4 linked regions of the Alligator mississippiensis genome follow. The protein of the gene in region 2 interacts with the protein of the main gene of each other region in a pairwise test. Links are inferred from orthologs where the notes say so. Each region holds a gene or a part of one and is shown on either strand. Other genes may lie near its edges. The genes, in order: EVL, ABI3, EIF3H and HOMER3.

Evidence for each region.
Region 1: the proteins of ABI3 (region 2) and EVL interact in binary tests that used the Homo sapiens proteins (3 or more experiments, as listed by UniProt). The link is inferred for Alligator mississippiensis from reciprocal best matches to the Homo sapiens genes ABI3 and EVL.
Region 3: the proteins of ABI3 (region 2) and EIF3H interact in binary tests that used the Homo sapiens proteins (3 or more experiments, as listed by UniProt). The two-hybrid records come from large-scale screens. The link is inferred for Alligator mississippiensis from reciprocal best matches to the Homo sapiens genes ABI3 and EIF3H.
Region 4: the proteins of ABI3 (region 2) and HOMER3 interact in binary tests that used the Homo sapiens proteins (3 or more experiments, as listed by UniProt). The two-hybrid records come from large-scale screens. The link is inferred for Alligator mississippiensis from reciprocal best matches to the Homo sapiens genes ABI3 and HOMER3.

What each region holds. Positions count from the first base shown.
Region 1 is NC_081825.1:282,648,898-282,656,459, forward strand, and holds the start of EVL (ena/VASP-like protein), read left to right. Parts: upstream 1-4,255; 5' UTR 4,256-4,270; coding exon 4,271-4,293; intron 4,294-7,562. UniProt on the Homo sapiens protein: Ena/VASP proteins are actin-associated proteins involved in a range of processes dependent on cytoskeleton remodeling and cell polarity such as axon guidance and lamellipodial and filopodial dynamics in migrating cells.
Region 2 is NC_081827.1:168,641,304-168,649,405, forward strand, and holds the start of ABI3 (ABI gene family member 3), read left to right. Parts: upstream 1-4,939; 5' UTR 4,940-5,914; coding exon 5,915-6,031; intron 6,032-8,102. UniProt on the Homo sapiens protein: May inhibit tumor metastasis. In vitro, reduces cell motility.
Region 3 is NC_081826.1:24,947,359-24,955,276, forward strand, and holds the start of EIF3H (eukaryotic translation initiation factor 3 subunit H), read left to right. Parts: upstream 1-4,516; 5' UTR 4,517-4,548; coding exon 4,549-4,656; intron 4,657-7,918.
Region 4 is NC_081839.1:1,369,309-1,377,820, reverse strand, and holds the start of HOMER3 (homer protein homolog 3), read left to right. Parts: upstream 1-5,330; 5' UTR 5,331-5,453; intron 5,454-5,795; exon of another isoform or gene 5,796-5,983; intron 5,984-8,512. UniProt on the Homo sapiens protein: Postsynaptic density scaffolding protein. Binds and cross-links cytoplasmic regions of GRM1, GRM5, ITPR1, DNM3, RYR1, RYR2, SHANK1 and SHANK3.

The sequences.
Region 1 (7,562 bases), on a different chromosome or scaffold from region 2:
AAGTACTTCATTAAAATATCTTAGTCTGTGATACCAGACGATATCATTTAGGATCTAGGAAGGCGTCATGGCAACTGAAGTCAGCAGAATGAGTCCAGCACAGGGCAAGAGAGTAAAAGCTCAATCCAAGGTGAAATTCAGTTCTGTGCAGAAGGTCACCACCATTCCTGGGGCACCTCAACCCTACTTAAGCCCAAAGGGTGGATTTTACCTGCTGACCAAGCCAATTTGCTTCTGGCCTGTTCTGGATTGTCATATTTCAAATCCCCTTGCTCAGCTGCAAAAATTACCAATAAGGATGACAATTTTGGTTATGTGAACACTTCTCTACTGGATAAACTACCAGCATATTTTACATGAAACCACTGAATTGCTGTCAAATTGTAATAGATTATGGTACCTATCACTGCTTGAGCAACCTGGATTAGATTCAAACATGAGGAGTGGGATTCCTTGTTTGTCATTACCAATAATTATAATTGCCCAAATGTCCAACTAAGTCTGATTTGGATTTATTGTTCTATTCCACAATTACGGGTTTGGGTATGAGGTAGGTATTTATTTTCAGTTGTACTCTTCCCTGCTTACCCAGCTCAAACAAACGAGTTATCACTGAATTATTCTTTGCCTTTTGTGGTTTCTGATGCACACGGCTCCTTTTGTTCTCTCTTAGATACCATAAAGCCACTATTCGGTACTCTTACTCATGGATATCAGAAGTTGCAGTTTGATTGAGATCAGGGTTGCCAGCTATTTGTAAGTTTACAGACATTTTGTTTAAAAAAAAAAAAGCGATAAAAACACTTGTCTGGAAAAAGAAAAAAAAAAGAGAGAAAGAAAAGGCATGGAGCTGTCCATAAAAAAACTAAGAAACTATGAGCTTGATTAAAGATCTGTTATCAGAAAGAGGCTGGATGCCAGTGTTGATGGACAATGAGACCACAGCAACACCACTTTGTGTCTGAGTGGGTGAGCATCCTGCAGGGAGCTCTCTGTCAGGATTTGTGGGCCACAGGAGCCCCCCTTCCCGTCATGTGCTGCCACTGCATCCTATAGGCCATTGCCTGCTTGTAACAGCTGTTTGCCTCAAAGTGGGCAGGTCTGTGCAGTCTGAGGCACCAGGCAGGACAGGGTGGGTGGCAATGTCTGTGTCTCCTTGGGTGAGTCTCTTGTTCCAATGGACTGGGTAGTTTTGCTGCTGACTTAGTCTATTAACTGTTTGGGTTTCACTTGATGTTTAATGGTTAAGGTTTTCTCTATGGTTGTATGTTTATCCCTTGTTACACATGTAATAAACCCTGTTTTAGTAGAACATTACTTGTGAGTGGGAAAGTTTGTTCACTTTAGAACATCCAGTTACATTTGCTTTTCAGGTTTCTTGGTGTGGGCTCAGGCCAGATTTAAGAGTTGTTGTTAAACCCCTAAAGTCGAATGTGGCCCTTGTTACTGCCATCCGGAGCCTGGCAGAAAGGTTACATTCACGTTGCATAAAATACATCAGTTAAAGAATTGTATAGGTTGTCAGTAAAAAATAATAATTGTGTTTAGCAACTGTTTAAGAAGCTTCTGGCAGGATCATTCCATTCTTATTGATCCATAAGGCATTGACATTTTTGCTGCTCCTGTGTTCATTATACCTTTTAAAGTTATACAGACGATTGGGCATTCATACGCTAATCTTCATTGATGTAGACAATGTGACATGTATATGGTCAGATTTTTCCTCATCATGGGACTCTTCATTATTTTGTTTCAAGAAATTACAGTTACTTCCACTGTAGATCAAGGCTCCTAAATGGACGGTACAGAACTCTACAAGTAGCTGGGAAAACATTGGCTTGAAACTAAGGTAACTTGTTAAATGTCAGAATTTTCAGTAAAGGTCCACTGTTGCAAAAGCTTTCTGGAGGGTGTTTGCCCTTTACACCATCCTGCAGCCTGGACAGAGTGGCCATTGATGACCATGTCATGGTTTGAACAGCAGCTTGTTTCTTTGCATATTTGTTCATAGTGGTTGCAGCATCGAAAGTCATGACAGTGATTTAGCGAGCTCAAATCCAAGGGGGATATATTTTTTTAAATGCAATTCATTTTTATGGCAGGCATATCAAAACTGAACATTACACACACTGGCCAAGCTCACTTCCTCTGAAATCAACAGCAGTTTAGCCACTGTCTTCAGAGCAGGATTAGGGGCAAAAATTAGGTAGGCAACCCTCCTTCAGATTTTCTTTCTTTATTTCTGTGGGCTCTCTCCAGATTTAACCTTGACTTCGAAGCTGAAATCCTTGTTTCATTGTAGCTAAGGATGAAACTTCTATTGTTTTCAGTGGTGCCAGGTGGATTCCACTTCTGTGTCTAGGTATTTTACGTGCTTTCACCAGACTGTATTTTGAAGGAGGTGACTTTCTCTTCTGTTTGAAAGCTTCAGTCTCTTCCCTTCTTACACCACCTGAGTGGATCAAAAGTATTCACTTTTCATTTCACCTCTGCATTTTAATATGCATTTCAGAGGATAAAATACTTCTGTGGCCAAATTTACCCTTTGTTTACATCAGATATCAAAAGGGCATAACCAATGGGAAAATTTGACCTTGTGCATTCTAATTACTACAATATTGTAATGGTAATACAACTTTTTATAGCCGACATATCAAAACCTAACATTACGAACTGGCCAACCAGGGCATGTAATGTTATTATGACAGGAGTTTTTATTCCTGTTGTCACAACTTATTTTCTTTTACACAATCAAATTCAGTGTTTTTACTGTTCCTTTCGTACTTTCATCCCTAAAGAAAAACCCTCCTTGCTCCAGAAAAATTCAGTGCCAAGTTTTTGTTAAGATTCTAGTGGCGGTTGGCTCTCTTGGAGGCGTCTTCTTCTTTGAAGGCTCCTTGGGTTTAGGGTTAGCTTCTTGGAATCCTCCAATGAAGTGTCCTCTTTTACAGGTGCAGGTTCTGCCTAAACAGATAATGGCTTTGATCCTGTGTTTCTAGCAGTCTTAAGCTCCCCTCAAAGGTGGTGTGTGGCTCAGCAGGCAGGGAAATGACAGCTCTTTGTCTTCTAATTTTCCACTTTTTTTAGCAGTCATGCTTATTGACATAGGTTCTCTCTGGTTGTTACTGAAGAGCATATGATTCGTCTTTCGAAGCGTTCTAGGAGTGCGTCCTGCATCTTCCTGGGTTTTTTTTCCCCCTTTCTCTACATATAGTAGATGTAATTTTGTTCTCCATAGCCTGTGCTTGGAATATCTTTTAGCTCCAGTTTCTTGCCATAAAGCATTTGTACTTTGGTGGCATCCTTTCACACTCCCTTGTTCCATGTTTTCATCATGTGACTTCAAAGGCTTTAAGTTCTGTTACTGTTTTTGGGAAACTTTCCATTCAGATGAACATGTGTTCTCTTCATCTAAGAACTTCCCGGGGTGTTTTGGTCTGTGACTGGGCAGCTGAAGAATCTTGAATCACATGCCACAAATCACAAAATTGTCAACTCTTCCCATTTCTATTTTTATCTTATTTTAAAATGTGACTATTTGGCTTTTATCCGTCTTTCTTCAGTTGCACTCCTGTGATTTATTGGCATTAAAGCCTGAATTTGACTTGGCACATTCCACACATGTTGTTACAAATTGAATGTGATAGCAGAGAATTCAGGGGTGAAGGAGTTAAATGGTCAGGAATAGTCTGCAGTAGAAAAACTACTTAATATGTTCTGGCATTTATAGAAGGGGGGGCTTATGGTGCTAATCTTCTGTTGTGACACTGACAATTCAATATGCATAAAAAACACCATAAGATAATAAATATCACTGCAAGCTAAGAAAATCAGTGTAAATGGGCCTAATTAATCTATCAGATTGAAACATTAATACCATATGTTAGTTGGCTTTCTCTTTGTCCTCTGTGTGATTCTGATGTAAAATGTGAACAATCATTTAGCTACAGAGTCTGTCATGTAAAGTATTTGACTTATTTGGCTAGAATAATAAAGATACCGGGCTGTATTCTTGGAGTATACTGCATTAATCAGACTTGCTGGAATGATCACATGGTACTCTATCGCCTTTCCCTGTTAGCTGCTGCTTGTCAGCAGCTGGCTGAGCTGTAGGCTGCAGGCCAGTATCTGCATACCCTTTCCCTTCAGAATATTTGCAATATACTGTCTCTTAATTATGCATCTTGCTGCAGATTGACAAACTAAATGGTATTCCTGCACATTAAGAAGAATATTTTAAATTTCAGCGAATTTGTTTAGTTACTAGGCCATGTATGCATTTGAAGAATTCAGGTAGGCTCTCTGTTTTATACATCAGTGTGCTTGGTTTTTGTTCTCACAAGGTTTTTGCTGTGTAATGTCAGCCGGCTCTACAGTTAGTTCTTGAAGACGCAAATGTTTCTTGAATTTTAAAATATCTACCCTATGTGTTGTAAGGAATATCTAGGATGAAATGCAGGTAAACGATAGCTAACTGCATGATGCAGTGCAAAGCTGGATAATTTATTATATCTTGCACATATTTTATAGTCATATAACCAGACACTGCAAGTACAGTATAGAGTTATAAATATAAAGCAAACTGTTCTATTGAAAAGGTCTCTGCTATTTTTGGTTCCTTCAAACCTGACAGATGCTTGTTCTATAAGGAATAGACATCATGATAGTTAAGGGAGAAAATACTGATGTCTGGATCATATATGGGATTAGATTTTGTGCTGCTGCAGAGTATACATGCCATTTTCATAATCTTGTAGCTGCTGAATATCCTATGAATTGCATTAAAAATATAATCTGACTAATTTGGGGTTTGGGTGGGGTTTTGTTGGCAAACATTTGAAGTACTGTGATTGTTAAAGTACAAAATTAGGACCTTGTTGATTAGTGCTGTTCAGTAATGTACCTTCCCCCCCATACCTCAAATATGCATGCATCAAGGTCTGTTAAAATCATGACAGGCTTTTGAAGCTATATGAAAGAAAGCAAATAGAGGTACTAACATAATTGATGATTTAATCTGTAATGAAACTGTATTAGGGTCTATTAATTTTTTTTTGACCTTTCATGGGTCTTCACTTTTTTAGGTTTATATGGTTTCTTAACAGTCATAGCATAAAACTGGCCAGATAAAAATGGTGAAGTGTTATGACAACATCAGGGTCATCTTCTGCTATGTTGTCTTCCTATAGCAATAATTCTTTTATATTAATTTTATAAATACCCCTGAAAACACTGGCGGGTATGATATTACTTAAGTAGTATATAACTAGATGAGCTGATCAGTTTTGCATACACAATTGGCATTCTCCACCCAATTTTTTTTCTCTGAACTTTCAAAATTTCATACCAAATGTAGACAAGGTTGTCTGCTAATCTGTGCTTTGGCAAAATGACTAGGTTTTTAATGTTTTGATACTGAAAAATGTTTGGGGTTTTTTGTCTCATCAATTTCAAATGGAAATGAATGATGGGGGAAGGGAATTAAGAAATTGTCCCATATCCAGGTGTAAAACTGTGAAGAAATGAAGGCTTACAGTGAATAGAAGTTCTGCTGTTTGTGAAATGCAGCAGGATGCTGTTTCAGTAAAATCTTTTTTTAAAAGGATTTTACTGGAACACCATGTAGTACTATGTAACTGCAGTTGTCATAGGATTGTCAAGATATGATCACAAATTTTGATGCAGCCAATTGCTGACAGTAAATTAAGATGTAAATAGGCACCAAACTGACTAGTCATTATATATCCCTGTATCAATTCATAGCTATCTGTATTTCATCTATGGGATTTAAGCATATTATTAATACAGCAATGCTGTGATCAGATTGTTGCTAGAAAAGATACGCTTTTGAAGAGTCTACTTTAAAAGCTCTACCTGTTTTTTTGTTTTGTTTTGTTTGGTTTTTCTTGTGGTAGACCCATTCACATGAAGAGATCTCAGACAAAGACCTTTACTTAGTGTAGCAATGGTATTTAAATGCTGGTCTGCACACTGAATAAGACTTGTGAATTTTCTAGCCTTGTCCTCTTAGGCTTACTTTGAAAATAACATTGAAAATTGCATGTCTAAACTGTGAAGATATTTTAAGATCGTCCACCCATACGGGCTGTGGCGTCTGGTCAGTAGCCTTAAGACTTATATTTTATTTTACTAGGCATTTAAGTGGTGTTCCATTTTAGGTTATATCTTAAAGTTGGTCTTTTTTCAGCATTCTCCCTTATGCCTGGTAAATGTATTTCATTGTAATGAAACAATAGGATATCTTACAAGATAAAAATGTTTGGCCTAGTTCAGTATTTGGATAGAGAACCTGGAGCACCCAGGGGAGTGGTTCTCAACCTTTTAAAACACAAGGTACTCCTTCATAACGTTTCTGAATTTAGCAGCATCCAGTTGCAAAAACTGATTTTAATCATTTCTTGACTACATAAAAGTAACAGAGCAATTATTCTGTTGCAAAGAATTCAGAAAGACCACAGCAAGTCCAACTTTTTTGACATTATGGATTCCTATGTGAAGTCTCTCAGTTTATCTTGGGAATTATGTGTAGGTAGGTGTCTGTATACCTAATAGTGCTAATATTACTGTAACACCCCGAAAAGGATCTTATTATCCCCAGTTGAGAACCACTGATGTAGGGATGTAGAGTTGATGAATCAGTAGATGGCGCTCTTCTCTGAACGAAGGCTTAAATGGCATTAGAGGGCCCTAAATACCCATCAGACTCTGAAAAAGGGGTGCAGGCTAGCACTCTGGCTTAATTCCAAGTGGAGTGATTGCATTCTGTTTATTTAAGTTCCCCCTACAGTTTCAAGTTGATGCAGTGTTCTTCACTGGCCTAAATGGTTGTGGAGCATTGTGCGCTATTGCACAACTGTTGGATTTTTCAAGCGTTTCACTCCGGGGCTGGATGAAGTGACCCTGGCATGCTGTTTATAAAATACTTATTTGTGAAGTGCTTTGGGATGAAATATAGCTTTTGTGATGATGGGGTAATGAGCCAAGACTTAAGCCCCAGAGAAACAAAGGGATGAAACCTCAGTGAGAATTTACTAATTCCAGACGTGGCCCTCACAGGTCATGTTCTTGACAGGGAAGAAGGCATTAACTCCAGAGCACTGTTACTTCTTCCCTGAGAGTCGCAGTGACGCAAGGAGCCCTATGTCAGTAGTAACCTTGCCACTTTGCACCTTTTGAGGATCTGGTTTGTTGTCTTCATTGTTTGTTTCTTTTTACTGTGTCCAGAGGATCATTAGCCCCTGGTATGTTTTATAGTTTTTCACAAACTGGTTCTCTCAGCCTCTTACTAGTGTGCATGCTCTCAGCTTAATGCTCAACATCCTGTGAGAGCTATAGAAGATGCTTTTCCTTTGGCCAAGAATAGACTATACATTTATGCTCAGGCTAGATTAGTCTGTGTAGCACCAGGATGGTTTGTAAAGTGAGTGCATCTTTCATCATGCAGCCACAAAACCAGCATCTGTATGTTTCTGATGCACCTGACACCATTGTATTTCAGTGTTTTTAACAATGAACTTTCTATTTCTTAGGAAAACCAATAA
Region 2 (8,102 bases):
TGCAACTTCCACAGTATAGATGCACCCCAAGTCTAGTTCCCCATGACCAGAGGTTGCTAATAGCAAAGGTGCTTGACCCCCAGAATGGTCACAGCCACAGGTGGCATTGACTGGCTGCCTAGTCAGTCTCAGCAGAGGAAGAGAAAGGTTAAATGACATCACTTGGCTGATGACAACAATGGTCTTCCACAGTAGGCTGAGGATTGATTTGGTGGCTGTCATAAAAATGATTGTTCTGTTTGTTCCAGAGATGGAGGACTTTGGACACCAGGATGCTCAGTCCATTTCATTAGGACTCTCCACCCATGTGGACCCTCATGCAGATGAAGCGATCACCTTCAGGCCTGTTCATTTAGTTACAACAGAGCCCAGCACTTCCTTGGCCTGGAGTAACCACCCCCATGCAGTTTTCACCATGAATTTATGTGCATGGTGAAAACTGCAGAGTGTTAACCACCTTCCAGCAGATTTCATTTGTTCATCATGGGCCAAACTCACTCCTGGTGCAACTTGACTGGAGGGCTGAATGTGAGCAGATGGCTAGGCATGTGCATTCATTCTCCCTCAGACAGCCACGATGGGGCAAACCAGGGAAGAGAGCACCTCATGGAAGTGACATTCCATGACCAATGAGAAAACCAGTGGGGCAGTGATAGCAGAAATGTGGTTGTGTATGGAGCTAGGACTAGCATCAAGGAAGCCTTCCTTGTCAGAGATGAACATAAATGTTCCCTTCCCAGATCAGCCCCCTGGCAGCAGTTGCCCTCTCTCCCTTATCTGTATCACTTCTTCAGTGAAAGGTCTTCCCAAAGGTGGAACATGAGTGTAACAGAATTGTACCTTCTTACCCAGGGTTGGGCAAAATGCAGCCCACGGGCCAGATGCAACCCACCAGGCCATTTTATCTGGCCCGTGGGGCCCCTAAAAAAATTTAGAAAATTAATATTTATCTGCCCCTGGCTGCCTGTCATGTGGCCCTCGATGGCTTGCAAAAACTCAGTAAGCGACCTGCCCAAAATAATTGCCCACCCCTGTTCTTACCCTAGGCCTGACACTGCCCTGGAGGCATGGCTGAAGCAGGAAGCAAGGCTCCAGCCCTTGGGATTGCAGGGGAGGGAGTTGACTGCTTTTACTCTTTGCCTGGGCTCTTGGTCTTGCTGGAGATTAATGGTACAAGTGACGTGGCTATAGAGTTTGTCAGGACAGGCTGTATGCCTTTGTGAAACCAGCCTCTGAACACACATTTCAGCTACAGATGGCTACTTGACAGCACAATGTGCTCCCTTAGGAGCATAAACTAACAGGCCAGCAGATGCCCACACCATGTTAGGGAGGACTCTAGAATATATTTCAGGTCAGAGAGAGTTGCCTATTAGGTAAAGCACTGCCCTGGGTGACTGCTTAGCCACTCTCCCCCTGGAAAACGTATGATATTTATCTATCTGGCTCATCTGTCTGAAATTTGCCTCAACCCCAGGGACCTCTGGGTGTCCACACCTGCAAAAGGGCTTTGAAAAACTGGCAAGCTTTTGGGGGACAGGAATGGTTTGTCTGAGGGTCTGTACAGCACCTAGCACCATGGGATGCTGCTCTCAGGCTGGGCTGTTTTATCATTATTATTGGTTTCTCCCTCAAGCTTTGATCCTTCTTAGACCTTTTCTTATAGTATTTTCACTCAGGGCCAAGGTAAAAACTGTACTACTTTATAGAATCATAGAAAATTAGGTTTGGAAAGGAGAAGATCTCAGGAGGTCATCTAATCCAACCCCCTGCTCAAAGCAGGGCCATTACCAACTATACCATCCCAGCCAAGGCTTTGTTTAGCTATGTCTTAAAAGCTTCTAAGGATGGAGACTCCACAGCTTCTCCGGGTAGGCTGCTCCAGTACTTTACCTACCCTCCAAATGTTTTCCTAATATCTAACCTAAACTTCCTTTGTTGCAACTTGAGACCATTGCTCCTTGTTCTGTCATCTGCCACCACTGAGAAGAGTCTAACTCCAGCTTCATAGTAACCACCCTTCAGGTAGTTGAAGATTGCAATTAAATCCTCACTGGGTGCATTTACATGTTTTATTAGCATGCAGTAATAAGCTCCAGCATGATTGCTCCTGAGCATGCTGTTTGAATGTGGGCCCAGGACTGCAGCACATTGAGCTGGGTTGGAGCAGCCACAGCTGGCAGGGGCCCCAGGGGCTCAGCCTGCCAGCCCGGGGCTCCTCCAACCCAGCTCAACATGCTGCAGAGGGGCTGGCTGGGACATGATGGGGGCTTTAGTCTCAATCCTCCCAAACTTGGGGATGGGGCCTCTTCTACCAATGGGACATGTTTCTGTTCCTCCTCCTCTGTTGCTAGGGCTCCCTATCTGTTCTCTAGGCAAACCACTGCAGGTGGAGATTAACATTTCTGCTTGCTGCCAGAGCTCACAAACTTCCAGCTTCCATCTTTCTGGGAATCTGTGTCCTCTTCCCTTCTAGTGCTGCCTCTGGCAGTCCTCCCTCCACAGTCCTAGAAGTATCCTCCAGCACTGAACTGATGAAGTCCTCATGGCAGAGGATGCTTCAGAGCCTTGCCATTAGGCCTGTGCGAAGCGGCTAGTATTCTCTTTGGATTTGATCGATTTGGAGGACAGCGATTCAATTCAGCGATTTGGCAGCGGCCGAATCTCCAAATCATCCAGGCCAGGCCCATCCCCCGCCCCTCTCCCAGCCCAGCAATGGCTGCCCTGCCTGCCCTAGCTCCCAGCACCTGAGGGACAGCACCAGAAGGTACTGCTTACATTGCAGGCACTCCGTCACCTGGCTGTCACTGGAAGGAGTCTGCAAGCCACAGTGTATGCAGTGCCAAACCAGGACCTGGGTGGAAGACTTGATTGTGAGCAGTCCTGCCTGGACAGATGCCTGACAGGTGCAAACAAAGGAAGAGCTGGCGGTGGCAGTGGCTCTAGCATTGCAACTTCCTCCAACCATTTCTCTGGGTTTCTTAATCTACCGCCTCTGCTCCTACATCTCTCCTTAAGCAGACCTTCCCTAGCAAACTCTCCTGTAAGCTAGCCTGGTCATTGCTCCTTGGTCCTGAGAGGTTCCTTTTTGCCTGCTAACCTGCTTCCTCTCACTAAGCTAACAGCAAAGGAAGGCAAGAGAGAGTTTCCAGGTAAACTCCCTAGCAAGCTGTCCCTCACTCTGGACTCTAGTTAAACAAGGAATTTAAGTATTATGCTTAATATACTTATGCTAAATATATATAAATTAGTTACTCCTAATTAAAGAGAGTGCTTAATTAAAGGCTCCCCTTCAAAGAGGGGGCCAGCAAACTGACCTGCCAACTGATTTTTTTTTTTTTTTTAAATGTCATGTCTTGGGCCAAATCAGTTTGGAGTTCTATTGACTCAGCAGAGCTCAATCATTCAAGTCTGTGTGGTGCTACCTCCAGCACGTATAATACTTCCCAAACTCTTCTGCCTGAGACTTCAGATACGCCCAAATCTATAGCAGGCGTTCTACATGCAAGCCCCAAGCCTGGTCGCCTTGAAGTTCAGATGCCCCCTAGCCTCGCTTGCCCTTACCCAAAAGGGCAAAGGAGGAAGTTAGAGGGAAAGTCCAAGAGCAATCCCCCATCACCATAAATTGTGTAGCTGATATTCTTGCATTTGGAGGCATTTGTAGACTCCTGCAGGGGTCAGGGACAGAGGACAGGGCTTTGCCCTCTCTAACTACACCGAGTCAGGCTGAGAAGAAGGGTATCTGCCCTGCCAGGTAAGTAAAACCACCTGGGTGGAAAGTCACCTCATGGTTTCTCCCCTGCCAGGAAAGAATGGACTTGCAAACTGCCCTGTTTGCCATCCCTCCTGTTCACTCAGGGAGTCTTCTTTTACAGCCTCCGGGCATGGATTGGCTCCACCCCCTCACTAGGGCTTTTGTCAGACACAAGCAGCAATCACCGGGCTAGCAGCTCTCCCAGCTGCTCAGGGCAAATGCCCAAACACACAGCCCACCAAACAAACACTCAGCAAACCAAATATGCAGACAGCCCTGGCTCACTTACCTGCCACGAGCAAGATCTGGTGCTGCTTCCTCTTTCCTTTCACTCCTAGTAAACTCCTTCCATACTGCCCAGTTTGCTATCCCTGGTCACTTAGGAGTCTACTTTTATACCCTCCTGGGCCTGGACTGCCTCCACCCCCTTATTAGGGCTTTTGTCAGACATGGGCAGCAATCCCCCAGCTAGCAGTGCTCTCAGCTGCTCAGAGCACATGCCCAAACACACAGCTCACCAAACAAACACTCAGCAAACCATTGGCGATGCCTAGGGGGTGCATGCAGGTGCATGCACGCTCCCTGAGCATGGTGGTGCACCCCCTGCAAAAAGGCACTGCCGACACTGCGGGTGGTCTGTGATCGCCACTGGCGCCGCTGCCAGCAGTGTCTGCAAGTGGTCACCAACCACCGGTTGGCGCTCACCACCCTCCCCCCTGCTGCTGCTGACACCGCCGTGGCTGCCTGTGGGAGCTTCCTGCTTGGCACTGCCACTGCCTGCAGGAGCTCGCCATGCATCCCCAGCCTCTGAGGGCACGTGGCATTCATGCAGCAAACCAAACACACAGACAGCCCTAGCTCACTTACCTTCCAGGAGCAGGATCTGGTGTCTGGCTCTTCTTCCTCTTTTCCTTCTTCCTCTTGCTCCTAGTGAACTGCTTACAAACTTCCCTCTTCACTGTCCCTATCTACTTCCTTCCTGGTTGCTTGGGGAATCTCCTTTTATATCCTCCTTCATCTTGCCTGTTTTGTGGGTGAAGTGGGCTCCATGCCAACGGGGACTTGCCCAAGCTTGAAGAAGCCCCAGCTGCAGGGCACACAATGCCAGCACAGCACAGCGAGGAAGAGCCTGGTGTTCCATGTTACAGCATAGATTGGATGTAAAGTGTGCTAAGTCCTTGCTTGTGGTCAGGTGAAGACACAGTTAGATAAGGTTCCCTCTGTGCAGCATGCAATCAAGGTCTAAAGAGCAGGGCTGAGCCTGTTTATGAGCTAGATGGAGATTTCCAGCTGGTTCTGAGGATGGTGCAGGGCTCACTGTGGCAGGCAACCCAGGACCTTATTGCTGTTGCCCTCAGCTCTCCCCTTGCTGGCTTCAGAAGGGCCAAGCCTTTTGCTCCAGAGCTGTGCTGTGAGGCTGTGTTTCTATCAGGAGGCTTCAAGGACCACATCTGGTTTAGTCATGACTGTTGGACCAAACATTGCAAGCAGGTGGCAGAAGTGGAGCAGGCTGAGGAGCCTGAGGCAGCCTGAAAGTTCAGCCCCACTTTTCCCCTCTCCCTGCCTCAGGAAAGCATGACTCACATCCTCTATGACCACTACTTTGCTCTCACCCTGGTCCCTGGAGTGTCCCTGGAGCATGTCTGCTAGCGTGTGCTGCTGTCTCCATCGATTCTCGTCCCTCCGGACCCAGGCTGAGGGGATCGGCTCTGCTTTAACACCTGTCTGGGACTGCCTCCTCTTTTTGCACTGCGATCCAGTCTGAGTCCAAGCCTCCTGGAAGGTGGGGGAGTCCAGTACACAGACACAGGTCTAGAACAATGTGTCGGGTGGCAATTTCCTATTCTTCCTCAGTCATTGTGATAGTCTTTGGATGCAGACTGTGCTGTGAGGGCAGCTAGCAAAGGCTTTGGGGCAGGGATCCCTCAAACTCAGCCAATTGGATGACAGGCCATGATCACAGTGAACCTTGAGGGTTTATGCTGAAGGCGTCAGCTTGTCTCCACAATGCAAAGGGGAGGTGGAGGCCAGTTCCGAGTGTGACTGGGCCCCCAGCCAATGGCTCTGAGAGCTGCAAGGTTCAAAACTCTTGTGTAGACAGCAGACCTCACAGAGAAGGAAGTGGTAGAGGAGCAGAGCAAAGCAGCAACCCAGAGCAGTATGTCTGAGCTGCAGCAGCTAGAGCAGCATGAGATCCCCTCTGCCAGACAGGTCCTGCGGGACAATTACAGCAACCTCCACAAAGTGGCTGACTACTGTGAGAACAACTACATGCAGGTGAGTGTGTCCCTGCTGGCCTCCGCATGCCCAGCTGTGCCCTGTGGCTCCAGGGGAGGTGGCTGGGGCTAGGAGGAGCCAGGACATCTGCCTGGGAAAGGAAGAAATGTGGCAAGTGGCAGCTTGTTGAAACAGCAGGTGCAGCAGTCACTGGAGGTTGTGAGGCTGTGGAGAAAGGCAGCTCGTACAGAAGATTAAGAGGGGTGTTGTGTAGCCTGTGCATAACAGAAAAATCATTGTAGCTTTGGGGAGTGAGTTTGCACTGGGCTGTAGTGTGATCCCTGGGTTCTCATCCTGGCTCTGCCCCTGGTTTGCTGTCATCTCAGAGAAGTGCATGCTGTGGCATATTGGTTGAGAAGTACTGCTTTAGACTGTCAACATTTTAGTGCATTAACTCCCACACTATGGCCCTGTCTGCACCGTGGAGAGAAAGGGCATTCTTCACTCAAGTTGGAGCCTTGGCCCAGGTTCTCAAAGAGATCTAGGTGTCTAATGCCCTTTGGCTCCAGTGAGAATTAGGTACCTTTGAGGATCTGAACCCCAGTTCCTTTCTAATTCAGCTAGCTAACTTGTGCAAAAATGGCACACCGCCTTGTCTGAGAACACAAGCTTGAACTGAGAACACACCTCTCCCATTGTGAAGACAGTGGTTATGGGTTTGTATGGCATCCAGTGGAGGAGGGTGTGATCTCAGCTGGGGTTTGTGGGTGCTACTTTGCTGATAATGACAAACAGCTACTGATCTGCCGAGCAGGCATGATCAGACTTATGTGGCCAAAAAAGTAATGACCCCCGTGACTGCAAAATATAACTCATCAGATCTCTCTTGTCCTAGTAAAGCACAGCCCAGGCCCGAGCTGTGGCAACTCCTGGGATAGCCCAGAGCAAAGGGTGAAAAACAAAGCAGGGGATAGCTCCCTTGGTAGGATCCTGCTAGGGATTTCCCTTCTGCTTTTACATGAAAAATGCCATGCCAGGCAGCAATATGAAGCCCAGAGACAGAACAGTGTCTCTGAAAGGATACCAGACAAGCCCATATTTGGAACTGTCTTACAAGAGCTTTTAAAGACCTTCTTGTTTATGGTACTTTACAAACACATAGCTAGCGACTGCCTTATCCCCAAAAAAGTTTATAATTCAAATAGATAAGACTGACCAAGCAAGGAACCATTATCTCCATTTCTGGTTAGGGACTTGTCCAGGAGGACTAAGTGACTTACCCAAGGTCATACAAGGAGTGTGTGGCAGAGGCAAGGATTGAACCTACATGTTTTGAGTCTTAGCCAGTATCTTAGCCGTGAAGTCATCCTGTTGGTCTGTGGTTATAGGCACTGAAATATATGGTGGGAAAAGACTAAAGGACCCCTTGTATTTGTTCAGTGTTTGTTTTGATGACTTCAGACAGATTTTATGTTTTGCTTAAAGGGGAAGCATGGTACATTATTCACACATTAATATGGGGAAAGATGTTACAGGTCAGTGCACGGGTGAAAATGGTCCTCATTGCAATGCATGTGACAGGAAATGTGGGGAGGAAGGCTGCTTGATACTGCTCAGCCCACACACCTGTGAAGCGGCAGGATCCCCTGAAATGAAGGCCCTATGTCTCTGAACTGTGGCTTTGACCTTGAAGTTCCTCCCTATTGCTCTTTCTCATCAGGTTTCAGTGACAGTTGCTGGGGGAGGGCTGTTCTAGGGTCTCATGGGGCAGGAAGGGGCCTCCCAGGTCAGTCCAGTGTTGTCCTGCGCCTGCTTATGGAAAGAAAGGTCAGCGTCTTTCCTTCCCTGGCCACCGAAGCATCACAGCCTTCCATCAAATGGCAATAAAGAATGGTTCTGAATTGATCATATCATTTGCATTTTGTCAGTGACAGGAAGCCAGAGTTGAGGTTGGGGGTCTCTGCTGATGGGTGCTGCTCACTCTAAATAGACAAAGGAACATTATCCAAATTTTATAAAGGGGAAACTGATGCACAGAGGTTCAGTAACTGGCTCAGCCCCTCATCAGGTGCCCATGGCTGAAACAGGATTTGAACCCACGTTTCCTAAGCCCAAGTCCAAGGGTTTAATC
Region 3 (7,918 bases), on a different chromosome or scaffold from region 2:
CCGAAACTACTGCACAGCAGCATTGTCGCAGTTTTTGCCGCACAGTGCTACTGCACTGTAGTCACGGGCTACTGCGTAGTCAGCATCTCATGTAGACACAACCACTGATTAGGAAATGGTAAAATCTGTGACTGTAAAGGAGGAGGAGGAAAAAAGAACAGCAGAATAAAAGCAAGAAACTTCCAACTAAATCCAGAGAACTGATTGGCAAGATCAGGGGTGCTAAGTCTAAGGGAAAAAGAGTGCAGGAAACTTGATTGTTCCTTAAAGAGACAATATTAAGAGAATGAAGACACATGCTCTCCCTATCTACAGGAAGGACAGGAAGTGTAGCAATAAGCCTGCTTACCCAAACTGTCAGTTCTTCAATAAGAGCTGAGGCTTTAAAAGAAGACTTATACAAAAGAGAACTTTGGCCATGCTAACAGGATGAATATAAGAGTCTGAACATGTAGGGGCAAAATCCGAAATGCCAAGGCTAGCAATGGATGTAGAATTAAAAAAAAAAGCATTCCTTAAATGCATTATAAGTAGGAAGGAGATCAAGAAAAGTGAGTTTCTCTTAATGGGAAGGAGAAGCTAATAATGGATGATATGGAGAAGGCTGAAGTGTTTAATGCCTTTTTAACTTCAGTCTTCACAAAAAAAGGTCAACTATTCAATGACAAACACAGCATCTAAAACAGTGGAACAGGTACTCAGCCTAGTGTGGGACAGAATAAATTATAGATTATTTACATAAGTGAGATGTTTTCAATTAGCAGGGCCTGATGAGATTCATCCTAGACTACTCAAGAAATTGGCTGAAGTAATTGCAGAGGAGACTGAAATGTGCATGTATGAAGCTCATACAAAAGGGAAAAAGGATGACCCACAAAATTAGCAACCAGTCAGTCTCATTTTGATACCTGGAAAGATACGGGAACATATTATCACACAACTGATTGTAATAATCTAGAACAGGGGTGGGGTAGCCAACTTGCAGAATAACTGCCACAAGTGGCACTGGCCGCTTGTGTGTGTGGCACATGGCAGATGGGGAGGGGAGGGGGACAGGCAGCACAACAGTTGATAGGGGAAGAAGTAGAAGACAGTACAGCAAATCAGACAGAGAGCAGAGAATAGAAAGCAGAGAAGCAAATTGGGCAGAGGAAAGGATCAGAGTGGCACTCAGGGAGGGTGTGAAGCTAATTTGTGGTGTGCCTGCCAAAAAGGTTGCCCCCACTAGAGGTCCACCGATATATTAGTCTCGTATGGTAGCGGCCCCGATAAAAGGAAAATTGACATTATCGGCAATCAACTTTTCTTGGCTGATGTGGATGATAATGTTGCCAATAAATGCTGCATGCACGTGCACAGCCACAGCAAGCCCAGCAGTGTAGAGAGCAGCATCCAGTTGGTAAGTCTTTTGTGGGGGAAGGGGCATGGGGGAAGAAAAGGGTGTGGTGGGGGGCAGACCAAGGCCTCTGTGGTGAGGGAGTGGGGCTGGGGCAGGCGCTGCCCAGCCAGAATGGACCAAAGCATGGGACGGAGCTGGGGAGTGTGTGGCTTCTGCTGCTGCATGCACCACAGGAAGGCATGGGGGACATGTGCCCCCTGGATCTGTGCACAGGGCAAGGGCGAGCTGCCACTGTGGGCTGGGGCTGCAGGCAGCGCCAGGCTCTTCCTGGCTGGGGAGGCTGGGCTGGGGTTGCGCTCGGAGCGGGCGGTGGTGGCGCTGGAAGGGGGGCTACAGCCACCCCAAAATTCACTGTAGCTCCTTTCACAGTGCCACTGTCACTCACCCCAAGCACAGCCTGGCCCAGCCCCCATGCTGGGAAGAGCCCCAGCTCCAGCCCACAGTGACAGCCCACCTTCACCCTGCGCACAGATCCAGGGAGGCACATGTCCCCCATGTCCTCCCGGGGTGCGTGCAGCAGCAGAAACAGCCGTCTCCCTCCCCCATGGATGACCTGCAGCTCCATCCTGCACCCCACCCTGGTTATGCAGTGCCTGTCCCTGTCCCAGCACCATCCCCAGCCCTACTCCATCCCTCTTCACAGGGGCCTTGATCTGCCAGCTCCACACCCCTTCCCTCTCTCCTTCCCCAACAGACTTAACAGCAGGATGCTGCTCTCCATGCTGCTGAGCTGAGTATTGGCTGATATGGCTCATTAAAAATCAGCCATTGGTATCAGCCCCCAAAATCTCTACCAGTGCACCCCTAGCCCTCACTGATCTAAGGGATAGCAGGCTGATAGGAAGCAGCCAATATAGGTTTCATAAGAACTAATCACGGCTAATCAACCTGATTTCCTCCCATGACAGTAGTGCTCACTGTTTTGGCAGGGGGCAACAGGCACTGAGGGGGGTTATTTGGATGCACATCTTGCTGGGGTTATTTGACCCCAGCAGTCTTTCCTGCCCAAAGCAAGGCAGGGGCTGGACCCGATGATCTCATCAAGTCCCTACCAGCCCTAAACTTCTGTGAATCTGTGGGGGTACAGGCATCATGGGGGAAGGGGAGGGGGTGAAGCCACATGCCTCCCCACCCGCCCCCCTGCTGCTGCAGGTTAGACATACATTTGTCTGGGATGGTTTAGAGGTCTTTTCCATCCTTAGAGGTCTTTGAGACCCAGGTAGACAAAGCCTTGTCTGAAATGATGTAGTTAGGGATGGTCCTGCTTTGAGCAGGGGGTTGGACTAGGTGACCTGCTGAGGTCCCTTCCAACCCAATTTTCTATGCCCATTTTCACAGCCCATTTTTCTATGAGTTATACCTGTATATGCCTAACATACCATAACATCAAGCAGAGAACGAGATAACTGTCCCACAAAAATGTGATGTCACCAGTCAGCGGATCCATCAGTGAGTAGTGAAAACTATCTTCCTACCTGCATTTTTGGCTTGAGAGTGTTTCTCTGAAGTCTTTACTTTGTGGGCATTTATATGCTTGATTCCAGATTAAGAACACCTTTGACTGCAAACTACACAACATTTAAAAACACCTGTAAGTTAAATCATGTTGAATAACTGTATACATTATGTTAAACAAAATGGCAAAGTTTTCATCTCCTTATGTTGCAATTAGGTGCCCTTTGGCATTGCCTTTTAGCAAGGACCAAAGCCAGGATGGAGGATCTTTCTGATGCTCTTTTGAACACTGTATTTGTTGGGGAAAGAGAACATATACATTTTTGGAACGGCCAGACCCTGTGCAGAAGAGGGGGAGCAGTCTTAGGAGGGACGTCTTGGGTGGGGAGAGGGAGAGATCTCTTGGTGTGAGGCAGGGGAATGGATGGGCTTGGGAGCGTCTTGAGTGGAAGAAGATTTCTTATACCTAGGGTGACCACATGGGGCAATGTGAAATTTGGGACAGTGTGAAATCCGGGACACTGCACCCCCACCCTCCGCCTCTCTGCTGCTGCAGGCAGAGGCAGGGCACCATTGGTATTAGTATTCAGACAGCTAAGGAGTCAATGACCCATTTATGACCCACAGTTTTTTTCACAGGTGTTAACACCCTCCTTTTTAATGGTCATTTCACAATTAAGCTAACCTTATTAGTGCAGGGGTTCTCAAACTTTGTCATACTGTGACACTGAGTGCCAGATGGTGGCGGAAGTGGATGGGGAGCTTGTGTGCGGCAGCTGCTGCCGCCATCCAGCACTCTGCACCGCCACCGTGCACCATGTCCCTGCACTGCTGCGTGTACCCTTGGGAAGTTTGCAAGCAACCCCCTTTTAAGTTGCTCTCAACCCCTCAGGGGGTTGCAACCCAGTTTGAGAACCCCTGCATTCGGGCAATTTTGCTGCTAGGGCTTCCTATTTCACAGCTTCTACTGCTCCAGCTTGTGCTCTGCACACAAGACGCTCAGCTGGCCAGGTTTGGCCTCTGGAAGGGAGAGTTCTGGATTTCAATCTGGGACCTACAATCACCCTACTTATACCTAAATGCAGATGGGATGGGGTTGGGGGTTTTCTCTGAAGGGTCAGGAGCAGGGAAGTAGGAGCAGGTGTCATGGAGCGCGTTCCCTAGATGCGGGGCATCTACTGTTGCTTGTCAGTTACTGTAAGAGCCTCTGTGCTTTTCTGGATGCAGCAGGCTGGATACAAAAGCAATAATAATATAATAAGGGTGATGAAAGCCAAAGATGTCTTAGGGCCATCTCTTTTATTAGATTAACCATGTAGTAAGGATAAAGTTAGGCGTTGGAAGGCCAGGCGCTATGATGTGATGGAGATGCGTGGGTCACCTCCTAGCACACCCCTGTCTAAGTTTGGAGGAACTGACTTTGGCTGCGCAGGTACCCCACGCACCCCGCCCAGCGGAGCCCTTCCCCGCTACACGGGGCAACAGCGCAGCTCCCCTCCACGTACTGCAGGCTGCGAGGCAGCAACTCCTGCGTATGCGCTACCAGCGCTCACACGAGCACGAAGCTTCCGTACGCATGCGCTCTTTGTCCCCGCTCCCAGGTTTCCGCCCGGAGTGCATTTGGCGGCGTCACATCCGGCCGCCCCACCCCGCTTCCGGTGCTTCCCTTTTCACTTTCCGGCCGGCTCAGGAGGATGGCGTCTCGCAAAGAAGCGGCTGCCGCCGGCTCCGCGGTCGCCAAAGTCAAGAGTAAGGCGGCGCCGGGGGACTCGGCCGTCAAGCAAGTGCAGATCGACGGGCTGGTGCGTGCGTGGGGCTGGGGCGGGGCGGGCCTGAGCTGGCGGCGGCCGTGTGGGAGCCTCGTGGGCCAGGCGGGGGCGGCTCCGCGCGCGCTGCGGCCTCCCAGGCCCCGCGGCCGGGCGCGACGCTGCCCCCAGGGCTGGGCTTTGCGAGGGGGCCCCGCGCGCATCCCCGCGCGTGCTCTGCTCGCTCCGCCCTCCCCCTGCCGACCCCGCGCCACGAGGGGGAGGCGTGTGCGACGGGCGAGAAGCAAGATCGCGGCACGGCCCCTTTTTAAGCTTACGATGCCGTTTGGCTGCAACAAGCTCTCGGTGCCGTCCCAGGACCCGGCACTCGTGGCCCGTGGGAGCCGGTCGCTCGGCCGCAGGTTGGACATAGCGTGGCCTTTTGTGGTACAGCGGGGGAAAAACAGACGTAGGAAACGAATCGTAGAAAGTGAGGGTGGGAAGGGATGTCAGGAGGTCACATCTGGTCCAGCCCCTGGTCAGAGCAGGACCAGCCCCAACTAGATCATCCCAGCCAAGGCTTTGTCTAGCTGGGTTTTGAAAGCCTCTGAGGATGGAGAGTCTGCTACCTCTGTGGGTAACCTGTGCCAGTGTTTTACTGCCCGCCTAGTGAGAGAGTTTTTCCTAATATCTAACCTAAACTTCCCTTGCTGCAACTTGAGACCATTGCTCCTTGTTCTGTCATCTGCCACCACTGAGTACAGTCCAGCTCCATCCTCTTTGGAACCAGCCTTCAGGTAATTAAAGGCTGCTACCAAATCCCCTCTGTCTTCTCTTCTCCAGACTAAATAAACCCAGTTCCCTCAGCCTCTCCTCAGGTCATGTCCCCCAGCCCCTCACCATTTTTGTTGCCGTCCGCTGGACTCTTTCTAATTTGTCCACAAGCTTGCTGTAGTGGGGTGCCCAAAACTGAACACAGGACTCCAGGTGTGGCCTCACCAGTGCTGAATAGGGGGGAAGAATCATGTCCCTTTACCTACTGGCAAGACACCTACCAATGCAGCCCAGTAAGCCATTAGCCTGCTTTGCAACAAGGGCACACTGCTGGCTCATATTCAGCTTGTTGTCCACTGTAACCCCAAGGTCCTTTTCCGTTGCCCAGCCAGTCAGCCCCCAGCCTGTACTGGTGCTTGGGATTATTCGGTCCTACAGGCAGCACTTTTCACTTCTCATTTGCATTTATCCAGCTTTTCTAAGTAGCCCCTAACCTAGGGGTGGCCAATTATTTGGGCTAGGAGGCCACTTAAGGACTTTTGGTCAGCTGTTTTGGGAAGGGGGTGAGAACTGCTGGTGCTGACCCAGAGTTTTGGTGAGCTCTTGTGGGGGGGGAGGGGAGGAGGGAGGAAGGGGTGATAACCCAGTCTTGACACCTTGTCACACTACCTAGCATGGTGAGGGCGGGAAAATGACAATTGATCTATCTGGCCCCAGGCCTGTTGGCTCTGCACCCACAGTCAGGGATGCTGGACAGAGTGGGTGGGCAGGGTCTTCATGGAGACTAGCCTGGGACCCTACAGGTGGGATGTGCTCAGCTGGACGGATGGGATGGGGTTGCAAGTGAATTGGGGAACAGGACAGGTGGGAGGAGCCAGGGCCAGGATCATGGGGTGGTGACAGTGTGAGGCCAGGGTCTGGGGCAGAGCCACAATCCCTGCAATGGGTGCCAGTTCTGTGGGCAGCGGCTGTCCCTTGCCTGCAGACCTGCTGCCCATTGCATGGATGTGACGATAGTGGATTACAGCTTGGCCCCAGCCCCGCACTGTCACCGTATCGCAATCTTGGCCCTGCTGCTACCTGCTTGTTCTGCTCCCTGATGCTGCTTCCTGTTCTCCCATGGCCCTATCCCATCCACCTGGCTGAGCGTGTCCTGTGTGCATGTCCTCTCTGCTTCATCTTCCCCCAGTGGTGGGTGTAAGGCAGATGGGCCAGGGTGCCTGGCCAGTGGGGCCAGGTCCAGCAGTGGCAGCCAGAGGGAGCTGCCATTGTGGGGGCTGCCAGGAAGCCTAGTCCTGCTGCTGTGCCATCTGACCCCATGGATTACAGCTCCTGGTGTGCTTGACAGCTGTGTGTGGGGATAGGGTAGGCTGTGCTCTGCGGTAGGTGGCACCTCTGTGCCTGGGGCTGGCAGGACTATCTGCACATGCCATAACCTGGGCTGCTCCCCAACCTTGAACTGGGGGGGACCAAGGGGCCAGATAAAATCATATTGTTGGTTGGATGCAGCCTGTAGGCCATATTTGGCCACCCTTACCCATACCTGTTCTCTCGCCACTGTTTGCTGCTCACATTCTCCCCAGACTGTGCTGCCAAGTACAGTAGTCCGGGAGCTGACTTTGCCTGTGAAGACTGAGGTAAAAAAGGCATTAACTACTTCAGTCTTTTCTGTATCATCTGCCACTAGGTTGCCTCTCCCATTCAGTAAGGGAGATTTGTGCCATCAACATTTTTTTTCCCTGTGGCCACAGATGTTTCTTGGTGCCATGGCTACTGCTTTCTCAAATTTCAAAAGAATAAAAACTGAGTAGTTAAGTGCATTGCCTTCAGCTTGGCTAAGCAGAATCAGAAATGTGAGAGGCAGATTCAGGTATTAAAACCGCTTTTGGAAAAGGAGTATTTTCTTGGGATGCCCAGCAATGTTTCTGGGGTTTGCCAAATCGGATCATGGACCACTCTTCACCTTGGTTCTACAGCGTGCTGAAAACATAAGGTGATGGCTCTTGCATGGAGCTGTGGGCACAGTCATATTACTAGCGCAGATCATTCATGTGGAGCACTGGTTCTCAACCTTGTTAGACTTGAGACACCCCTTGGAAAATGCCAGCTCTTAATTTTTGCTCTTTTATCACGACAGAGATATAATAGAAGAATTTTTTCATTTAAAAAAACTCAGAAAGATCATAATAGGTCAAAGCATATTTAACACTGCTCATTCCTGTTTGAAAACTCTAGGTTTATCTTGTGAATCATGTTTACACACTTAAGGGTACTGACACTGCATGGCTCCCTTGAAAGGAACTGAAGGTGCCCCAGGTTGTCAAAACACCCCGGTTGAGAATGACTGATGTAGAGAGTGGAAGGTCCTGGCATGTATTTACATGTGCTGCACCAGGCTGTGCCCATTTTCTCCTGTCTTCTTCCGAACTTGTTGTTGAGGGTCTGGCTGCATTTTTCCTACACCTTTTATCATATTTGCCTACCGTATCTGTGACCCCATTTGTGGGCTGGAGACCTTCCCAATCTATTTTTGGCACTGGTTAGG
Region 4 (8,512 bases), on a different chromosome or scaffold from region 2:
TTACTGTTGTGTTCTCCTGCACCATTATAGAAATTAACACTTCGGAATCTAATAATAATACTTAGCGCTCAAAAAGTGCCTTCACCTTCAGAGTTTATCGATGTAATCTACAAATAGGAACTAATTAAGTCTCCTAATGTCCCTGTGACGTAGTTATTATCTTCCTTATCCTGATGAGGTTAAACAACTTGTCCATGGCCACAGAGAGAATCAGTGTCAGAGCTGTGGATAGAAAGAGTTCCTAGCTCATTTTGTAGGCTCCTACCATTGACCACCAACCCTTTACTTTATCACCTTTTCAAAGCACTTTAGATGCTTTAAATTTAAGTTGCTGATGAATTTTTAATGACTTTTACAATGTCTCTCTCCCAACCCCAAAAAGCCTTGTGACCCAGTTTGCGTACCACATAGCCACTGTGAATTGATTTGCCTTGGAGCATGGCCAGAATTCAGGTACCAAAACCCTTGGCTGCTCAGCATATTTGGTTGAACCAATTTTTTTTTTTTATTAATGCTTCTAATGTCTTCATGTTTGGAGGATAATCTGGGATCTCCAGCACTGAAATCCCCGAACAAAAGGCTGTGCTCTCTCTGTCTCTCTCACACACCAGAGACAAAGTGTAAGGCCGGTTCTGCACTCCCAAACATGCACAGCTTGTTTTCTCTGTTCTCAAGTAGCCCTGGAAGCTGAAGTCCATCTGGAAAGCGTGCAGAAGTACTGCCCTGCTGTACCATCAGACCCACTTTCAAATTAATTGAAAAGGATGCTTGGAAACCAATTTGGTGCGTGCGTTATAGCCAAATAGAAAAAAAGAGACCAAGTAAATGTCATTTAACATACCCTTCTGACTATGTAACACAACTGGATTGAAGTGTTTTTACACGGAGAGTGAGAGTATCTCTCTTTTCATGCATTCTTATTCCTGTGGATCAGACTATCTTTAAAACAGATGTGCGTTGTACAAGGCCTTCTGATGTATACTGTTACATGCAAATACCACAGAAGCAGGGGCCAGCTCTTGAAACTTTCTAAAAGCTGCGAGCACTGTTCAGTTCCCTTCCCAGATCTCTTATGTCTGGCATTTTTTCAGATACTAATCAATGCATTAATAATATTGGCACTTTTCTTGGAAGGATGTAAAGGTGGGAATACTCTGCCTTCTGTGTAAGACTAAGTCATGTGGAGCATGGTGAGGACATGAGAACTGCATATAAAAATGGACAGCTGAAAATGAGGAAGTTGAACAGCTGCTTGCACACCATACTGCTGAGGACTGTCTGACTGCAGTCACCCAAGGTATCGGTAAAATGCAAAAAGCTAGACCAAAGGTGTGTATCTTGGCCAGTGATTTGAACAGGATTCGGTTTGTCTTTTGGCAGTGTGTGCTCTTGGCTATATTCTGAATGGCTTTATGTAAAGAGCTCCATTAAGATTAATGGCGCAGACTTGACAAAGGCCGCGTAATTAATGACATGGGTGGTGATCAAAATATCTCATCTCGTTTCTTTTCTTTTCTTCAGGTCAGGGGACACTTCCCCCGCCCCTCCTCGCTAGGAGGAGGGACAGATAGAGCACAAAACCCTGTTAAAGAAAATCCTCATAAGGCTACTAACATCTGATTTCAGTTCAATTCCTGCTGATCTAATTATCCTAATTTAAATGTGTAAAATAATTAGCTTCTAAGAAGAGCCATAGATAACCCACTGTTAGCAGGTCGATATGAAAGATATTGTGCCCTACTTTCAGTGGTGTCTTCAGTGCAGTTTATTTTAGTCCTTTTGTCATTGGTGGCCATGTTGTGCAGAAGAAGGGCAGAGAAAATGGAGCAAAAGCAGAAAGGGCACAATTCAGTCCTGTGCTGGCATTGAACTCAGCCCTGGCGCTGTGAGGGGAGTCAGTCCTGGAGTCCAGCGGATGAGAGCAGCACCCAGACTGCCCTCACTAGTCCCCAGTTGTCAAGACTTTTCTGGCTGTGGCTTCATGTGCGCTAAGAAACCTTTCCCATCTTTTCCTCCCCTGGTTCAGCTCCCCCAGTATCAGCGCTGAAGGCTGCAGCCTGTTCCAAGCACCATAAAATCTGACCTTGTTCAGATCGGTCTAGCTGACACCACTTATAACACTGGCAGCTGCCCACAGCCTCTCAGCACCGGGCCCCCCAGCATCAGAAAGATGACAACTCTCCAGATAACTCCTATAAATCCTGGGAAATACGGGTGGGAGGGCTACTGTGGCAAAGGGAGGAAGGTGAGGAGTGAAGGCATTGTTGCTGTTCTTTTTGGTACATATTATTTAGATCAGGTATCGGCCTCATCTGGCTGGTCAGCATCAAAGTGCAACAAAAAGTCAGTCCCTCGCCCCAAAATGCTTACGGTCTTAGTTCAGGCAGTCCTGGTGCTTGTCGTCTGCTCAAAGGCTTCGGCGTGAATAGGGCTGGAAGAATGGCTGCTACACCCACATTGCCTTGTAAAACTGCTCGGACATAACTTACTATTTTGGTGAAAGCAACAGCATTGTCTTGAAGCTATTAAGGCATGGAGAAATTAATGTGCAGAACTGGCAGAGATTAACGAAAACTCTCTTGGGGAAATTCCTTATTAAAGTAGGCAACCTAATAAATCACAAGCAAAAATGGGATTGGACTCCTCCAATCACCACACAGTTCAGCACTATTGGCAGTCTGTTCACGAGAGGCCTGGCTTTAGTTTTAGTGGGAAGTGTTAGGTCAGGATTGAGGCACTGTGAAAGCCCAGAAAACAGCACTGTTTTTGATCATGACTCGAGTGCATTGGCAGTGCTGGGTTTGGAGGGAAAGTCGGGACTAGTTCCCTGCCAGGAGCCAAGGTTTAAGGACATCACTAGACGTATGAATATGAGAAGCTTGCACAACTGTTGCCTGCTTTAGCAAATGCTAAGCATGTGCATGTGCTCTTACACTTGGACCGGGTTGCAAAAGGAGGTGCCAGAACTGAATACAGACAGAACGGCTTTTTCTCTTCTAATGCAGCCATTGCTGTCAGAGGAAAAATGTGATCTTTTTTTTTTTCCTTTGGCCATAACACATAAGACAGGGCTGTTCACAGCAGGACCCAAGTCTATAGCTGTACTTTGTGCACTATGCTGCTTCTGAGCCGATGGAAGCAGCTGCGTGGTTGTGATGCTGCAGGTTTGGAGGCTGGGTTGGAACAGAAGGAAAATGGTACCAGAGAGCAGCTGCTTTATGCAGAAACCCCACTGGCAGCCTGCTGGAGATAGTGCAGAAAGCTCAGTAGAAGAGCAGCGGCAAGTCCTGTTTCCTGCCTTCTCTTCCCTGCAAGTCATTAGGCTGCAGGTGCGGCAGGGTCAGTGTGAAGAGTCAACTCCGCTGTGCTGCCTTGCAGAGAGGCAGAACTTGAGACTCTACCTGCATTTAGCTTGTAAACACCTGAGAGGGAGGTGCTCTAGGCACTCTTTAGGTAGGTAGAGAGGTCTCCTGGTAGCAAGACAGCAGGGTGAGGAGGAGGGGACAGCTGTAGCACTGAACACCCAGGTGAGCCAGGGCAGGTGCAGTTGACATTTCAGCCCCCAAAGTGATCCCCAAGGTCAGGCAGCTGTCGCTGCTTCAAATGTGGTGGCAACTCCATTTTCTTTAAAGTGTGGGTATAGTTTCATAGATATTTGCCCACTGAAGAGGATGATTTGGTTCCATTATCTGATTCAATATGGTCTCTTATATTGATGTCTGGGAAACAAACCTAAAGGCCCCAATTCTGTTATCCTGCGCCGGGCATAGTCACTTCTGTTAGTGACAGGCGAGAATAAAGTGCTGCCCATTTCACACTGGTGCAGCTCACGGAAGCTGCGTGGCATCCACGGCCTGAGGACAAAGGCATCAGACTGTTTGGGGCCAAATTCATCCCCAGCGTTAGCCTGGTGGAGTCAATGGATTTACAGCAGGGGAGGAGCTGGCCTGTTGTGGCTGTACAACAAATGTGAATTAGGGCCTTGGAGCACAATCACGAGATGTTTGCTGGTACTCCTAAAGTGCGTATTAGGTGCAGGAAGATATGTTTTCTTTAATACCATCTAATCTATTTCCATCCCTAGATTCTAGTGCTTATTTTGGGCTGCCTATCTCTATCCCTAGAGTCAAATGTGTCTATCTATCTGTCCACCCAACCTTCCCTTGATTTATACATTTTTGCCACGGGACCAGTTCTCCAGTCTCCATTTTCAGTTCTGTTATTTATGCCTGTGCAGAGTAGGTGCAAAAGACCCCAGGTCACAGATTTAAAAGCCAGCTGTGTAACACAGGCCTTCTTGGAATTAATTCTTCTTTGAACTAGAACACATCCTTTGCTAAGACACCTGACCTTAATTCAACATCTCCCAGGGATGAAGTCTCCACCCGTCCCTAGATGAGCAGTTCGGTTGGTTAATAACTCTCGCTGCTAAAGCGCTGCACCTTATTTCTAACCTAAGCCTGTCCAGGTTTATGGGCTGCGATCAAGTCTAAAGACTTGCAACTTTAGGAGCAGATTGAATTCTTCAAATTCTTATAATCTTTTACCGGGCAGGCACAGTTTCCAGTTTTTTAAAGCATCCTTCCCTCAGCCCTCTGCAATTTTTTTAAACTTCCTTTTTGAAGTGTCTCTTGCATGTTTGAGGGGTGTAGGTTGTAGCCGTGTTGGTCTCAGGACACAGGGTCCAAGGAACCTTGTCTTCTTGAACTGTAGGCACCAGAGCTGGATGCATCACTCCAGAAAGTGGTTGCTGCAGTGCCAAATACAGGGGAAATATAGTGTGTCCGTATGTCCCTGTTTGTACATCCAAGGATTGACGTCGTGTCACATTGGCAGGTCACGTTCAGCTGATTTCCCACCCCACTCCTCAAGTGTTTTCTCTCTCTGCTTCCCAGAAACTTCCCTTCCCCCAATCCCTCAATCCCTTACAAATGTAATAGCAGCTCAGCCTCGCTTTGCACAGGTGCAAACGTCCACCCAGAATACAAAGGAATGGAGAATTTGGCCCACGCAGGGAGGTGAGGGAAACCACTCCCTAGACTGGAATAAAAGGGACGTGCTGTTTTTCTAAAGTATTAGCGAACACGTTTGAGATACCTGGGGTAGAAGGGGCAGGCTGTATTGGAGCAGGCAGCAGCTGCTCAGACCCCTTTGGTCAAAGCTTAGACCCGTAGTATGTACGAGATTACAATATAAGGGCGAAGCCCCGGGAAAGGAGGTGTGTTGGGATATCTTGGAGCTGTGCTGATCTTATTTAGCAGCTTGGTTTTTCGGCGGGTGTAGATGTGAGCTGTGCCCGGCAGGTGGTGCCTCTGAGCCAGCTGGAACCCATTGGAAATAAAGTGAGGAGAAAGAAAAGAGAAATGTGACCGAGATGGGGCAGTTGGCAGAGGAAGGAAGCGGATAAAAAGAGAGAACAAAGAAATCGCAATCAAGAGGGATCAACTGGAGAGGTAGCTTTACTTTTTGGGCTGTGGAAAAAACTTCCAGGGTTTATCAGTCGCCTAGAGTAGAAGGGAGTGGGCAGCATTGTTTAAAGGGATTGCAAAAGCAGTGAATAATCCTGCTGCTGCTGCTGCTGCTCTCCTCCCCATGCTGAAGGGAGGAAGGGATCCTGCGAGCAGGAGAGAGGAGGACACTGCGGGCCGGAGGCTGCAACATCTCAGCAGCAAAGTGTGCTCCAAAGTTCTTGGCCAAGGTCCCCTGGGCTGCCGCTCTCGGTGGGGAAGACCTCTCCTCGGGAGGGTGTTCGGGACCTCACCCAGCCTCCTCCCCCACGCCCTCTGGGATTATAGGTCATTTTGAACAAGCAACAAAACTAGCGGATTTCAAAGTGAAATTCCGGAGGAAATTTAAAGAGCATCCGGATCCGGAGAAAGAGAGAAAGAAAGAGGAAGGGAAAAATAAATCAAACGTGGAGAGGAGCTAAGGCGGCCGAAGAGAAGCCCAAGAAGAAAGAAGCTGACACCCAGGCGGAGATGGGGTGAGCCAGGCATTTTGATTATTACTCGTGTATCTTTTGTTTTCGTACCAGTTTAAATAACCCAACATGTTTTTTAAGGTATATCCGAGCCGAGGGGATGAGGGCTTCAGGTTGCCATCAAGAAAGAAATGCCAGTTTAAGAGTACAAAGCAGCCCTAAAGTTTAAGGGTTCACAAAGTAGACAACTGCAAATCTCGGCAACTTCTTGACAGGTACCAGGATACAGGGACGGGGCCCTGGGGTCCAGAGCGGGAGTCAGGAACAGCCCTTGGCCACCTTCTCCCAAGTTAAAAAGGACAGGTTTTGTTTTTCCCTTGTGACCTTGGTGCTCAGTAATTGGGATACTGCTTGCATTTCTGAGCGGGTGAGGAGTCTGATTGGAAATCTCCAACGTGAGTTTAAGTTTATGACCCCCTAAAATCTTCCAGGGGTGAAATATGTTGTGCTTAAGTGGCTAGAAGGCACGGGCATGAAAAAGAGATTGTAGCCTGGTGTTTAATTAATGTGCTGGTAATAAACCCCAGCCGTGTAATTTTAAGACCCTGACGTTGCTCTGAGCGAGTTGCTTTGTAATGAACTCTTCTGGGCCACTCAGAAGCACGTTGGGCCGGGAGGAGCCCGGCCTCCCCAGATCCCCCCAAGCTGTCAGTGTGAGACTAGAGGGCAAGTTCACTGGCTTGTGTTTCTTTTGCTGAGTTTCTGATTTTTGTTTTAGGCAACCCAGGAAGAATTACTGGACAGAGTGAAATATAGATGGGGGTGGCAGAAGGGGCAGAGGCACAGAACCAGGTCTCAGTTAAACCAGTATGAATCTGGAGCAAATCCACTGAAGCCTGTGGGGCTTACACTGGTCCCACTCGAAATCTGAAACTGCCCCATGTCTCCGTGATCCCTACCTTGAATCCAAAACTTCAGCCTGGGGATTGCCAGGAAGGGTGTTTCAGGTGCATAGGTTGGGCCTGGCGCCTTATTCTCCAGGTGTATTAGATGAATCCTTCTTGGAGTCATCACGACTACACCCAGCAGCTCTGCGTTTTCTTTAGAGGCCTGCCAGTTCCCACAGAAAAGGTTGATTCGATGTCATCCTGATATTTTCTTAGATCTCGCTCTAATTACAGGGTTGCAGCAGCAGCAGCAGCACTGCTGTTACCGTGGAGGTGGTGTTTCTATCCCAAATCCCCTGTTTTTAGTTGCATAGACCTTCTGAACTGAAATGCCTTTGTGCTTGTGTATCGTTCACATGGAAATGTTGAGCAGCCATCTGCAGGCATTAGATTTCTCTGGATTCCCAAGGCATTAACAGAGCATCCCCTTTTGAATCATTTTCCACCAGTTGATTTAAGCGAGCTCATTTTGAAGTAAGGATTCAGTCCTTACCCCTCACCAGTGACTCTTAAATCTTGCCTATTGTATGTCCTCCTGATGCTCGTTCTGGTATCTCTGGGTAGCTTTCCCGCACAGCCTGTTCCTGGACTCTAATGTATCCCCGTTGCACAGTAGGTTTTCAAGTGCTGGCTCCTCTTCTTTGGAAGAGTCCACTTCCAAACGTTGCTTGGATCACAAGGGAAGCAAATGCATTTACCTCCCGGCTGCGCCTGCAGTGAGCATTCGTCCGCACTTCCACCTAGCAGACGACACAGCAGTCTCCGCTGTAGGGAGGACTAGGATGGGCGTCGGAGAGGAGAGGCTTCTGGTCATGCTTCAGGAGCCCTGGCTGCGCTGTTCAGGGGCAGGACTGAAACGGCAGCAGAGGAGAATGGAGCTGCGCCCACTGAACTGAGCAGGCATCCATGTCTGGAAGGGCTGAGGATGCTGTGGTTAAAATGATTGCACGCAGGCAGAAACATGCACAGAGCACAGCGGGGTGCTCGTAGATGCTTATTACGGGGGGGCATTGGAAGCCCAGCACTGGAGGGACGAGGGTGAGCTGTCAGCAGCGCTGCCCAGACTCTAGCTTTCTGGGTTAGGCTACGCACTACTTAAATGCACTCTGCTTCCCCTATGTTCAAGACTTCCCAGCACCGTGCAGATAAGGCTCCAGTCCGTGTGTGGCACTGGGAGAGCCAGTGGAGACGTCCGTCCCCGCACGGGGACTGTTCCAGGCACGCGCTGTGCACCCAGCCGCAGAGCCATCCTCGTCACCTGGGACCCGGGCCTGGTGGCGAGAGGTGTCCAGGAAAAGCAATGCTTCATAACGGTGCTGGGCCTTTAACGCCCAGGTCCTCCTTTCCCTGGGTCTGAACTTGCACGCTTGCACTCGCGTTCCACCCCCACGACTAATCCGACAGGAGTGCAATTCCCCTGGTGCCCTTTAGCAGCAAACAGGCTGGGGGGAGCTGCTTTTGTACTAAGCTCTCCTAGGTTAATCTCTCACCGGGAAGCCAAGGGTACACCAGGGAAGGAGGAGAGGGGAGGATTAGTTCGTACGCTCCCTGCCACGCAGTCCGCTAGGCCGCAGAGACTCTGGGCTTTCCATCAGATCCGTGCCAGAATCTCACCCCGTCCCAGTCGAATGCTGTCTCTGGCGCG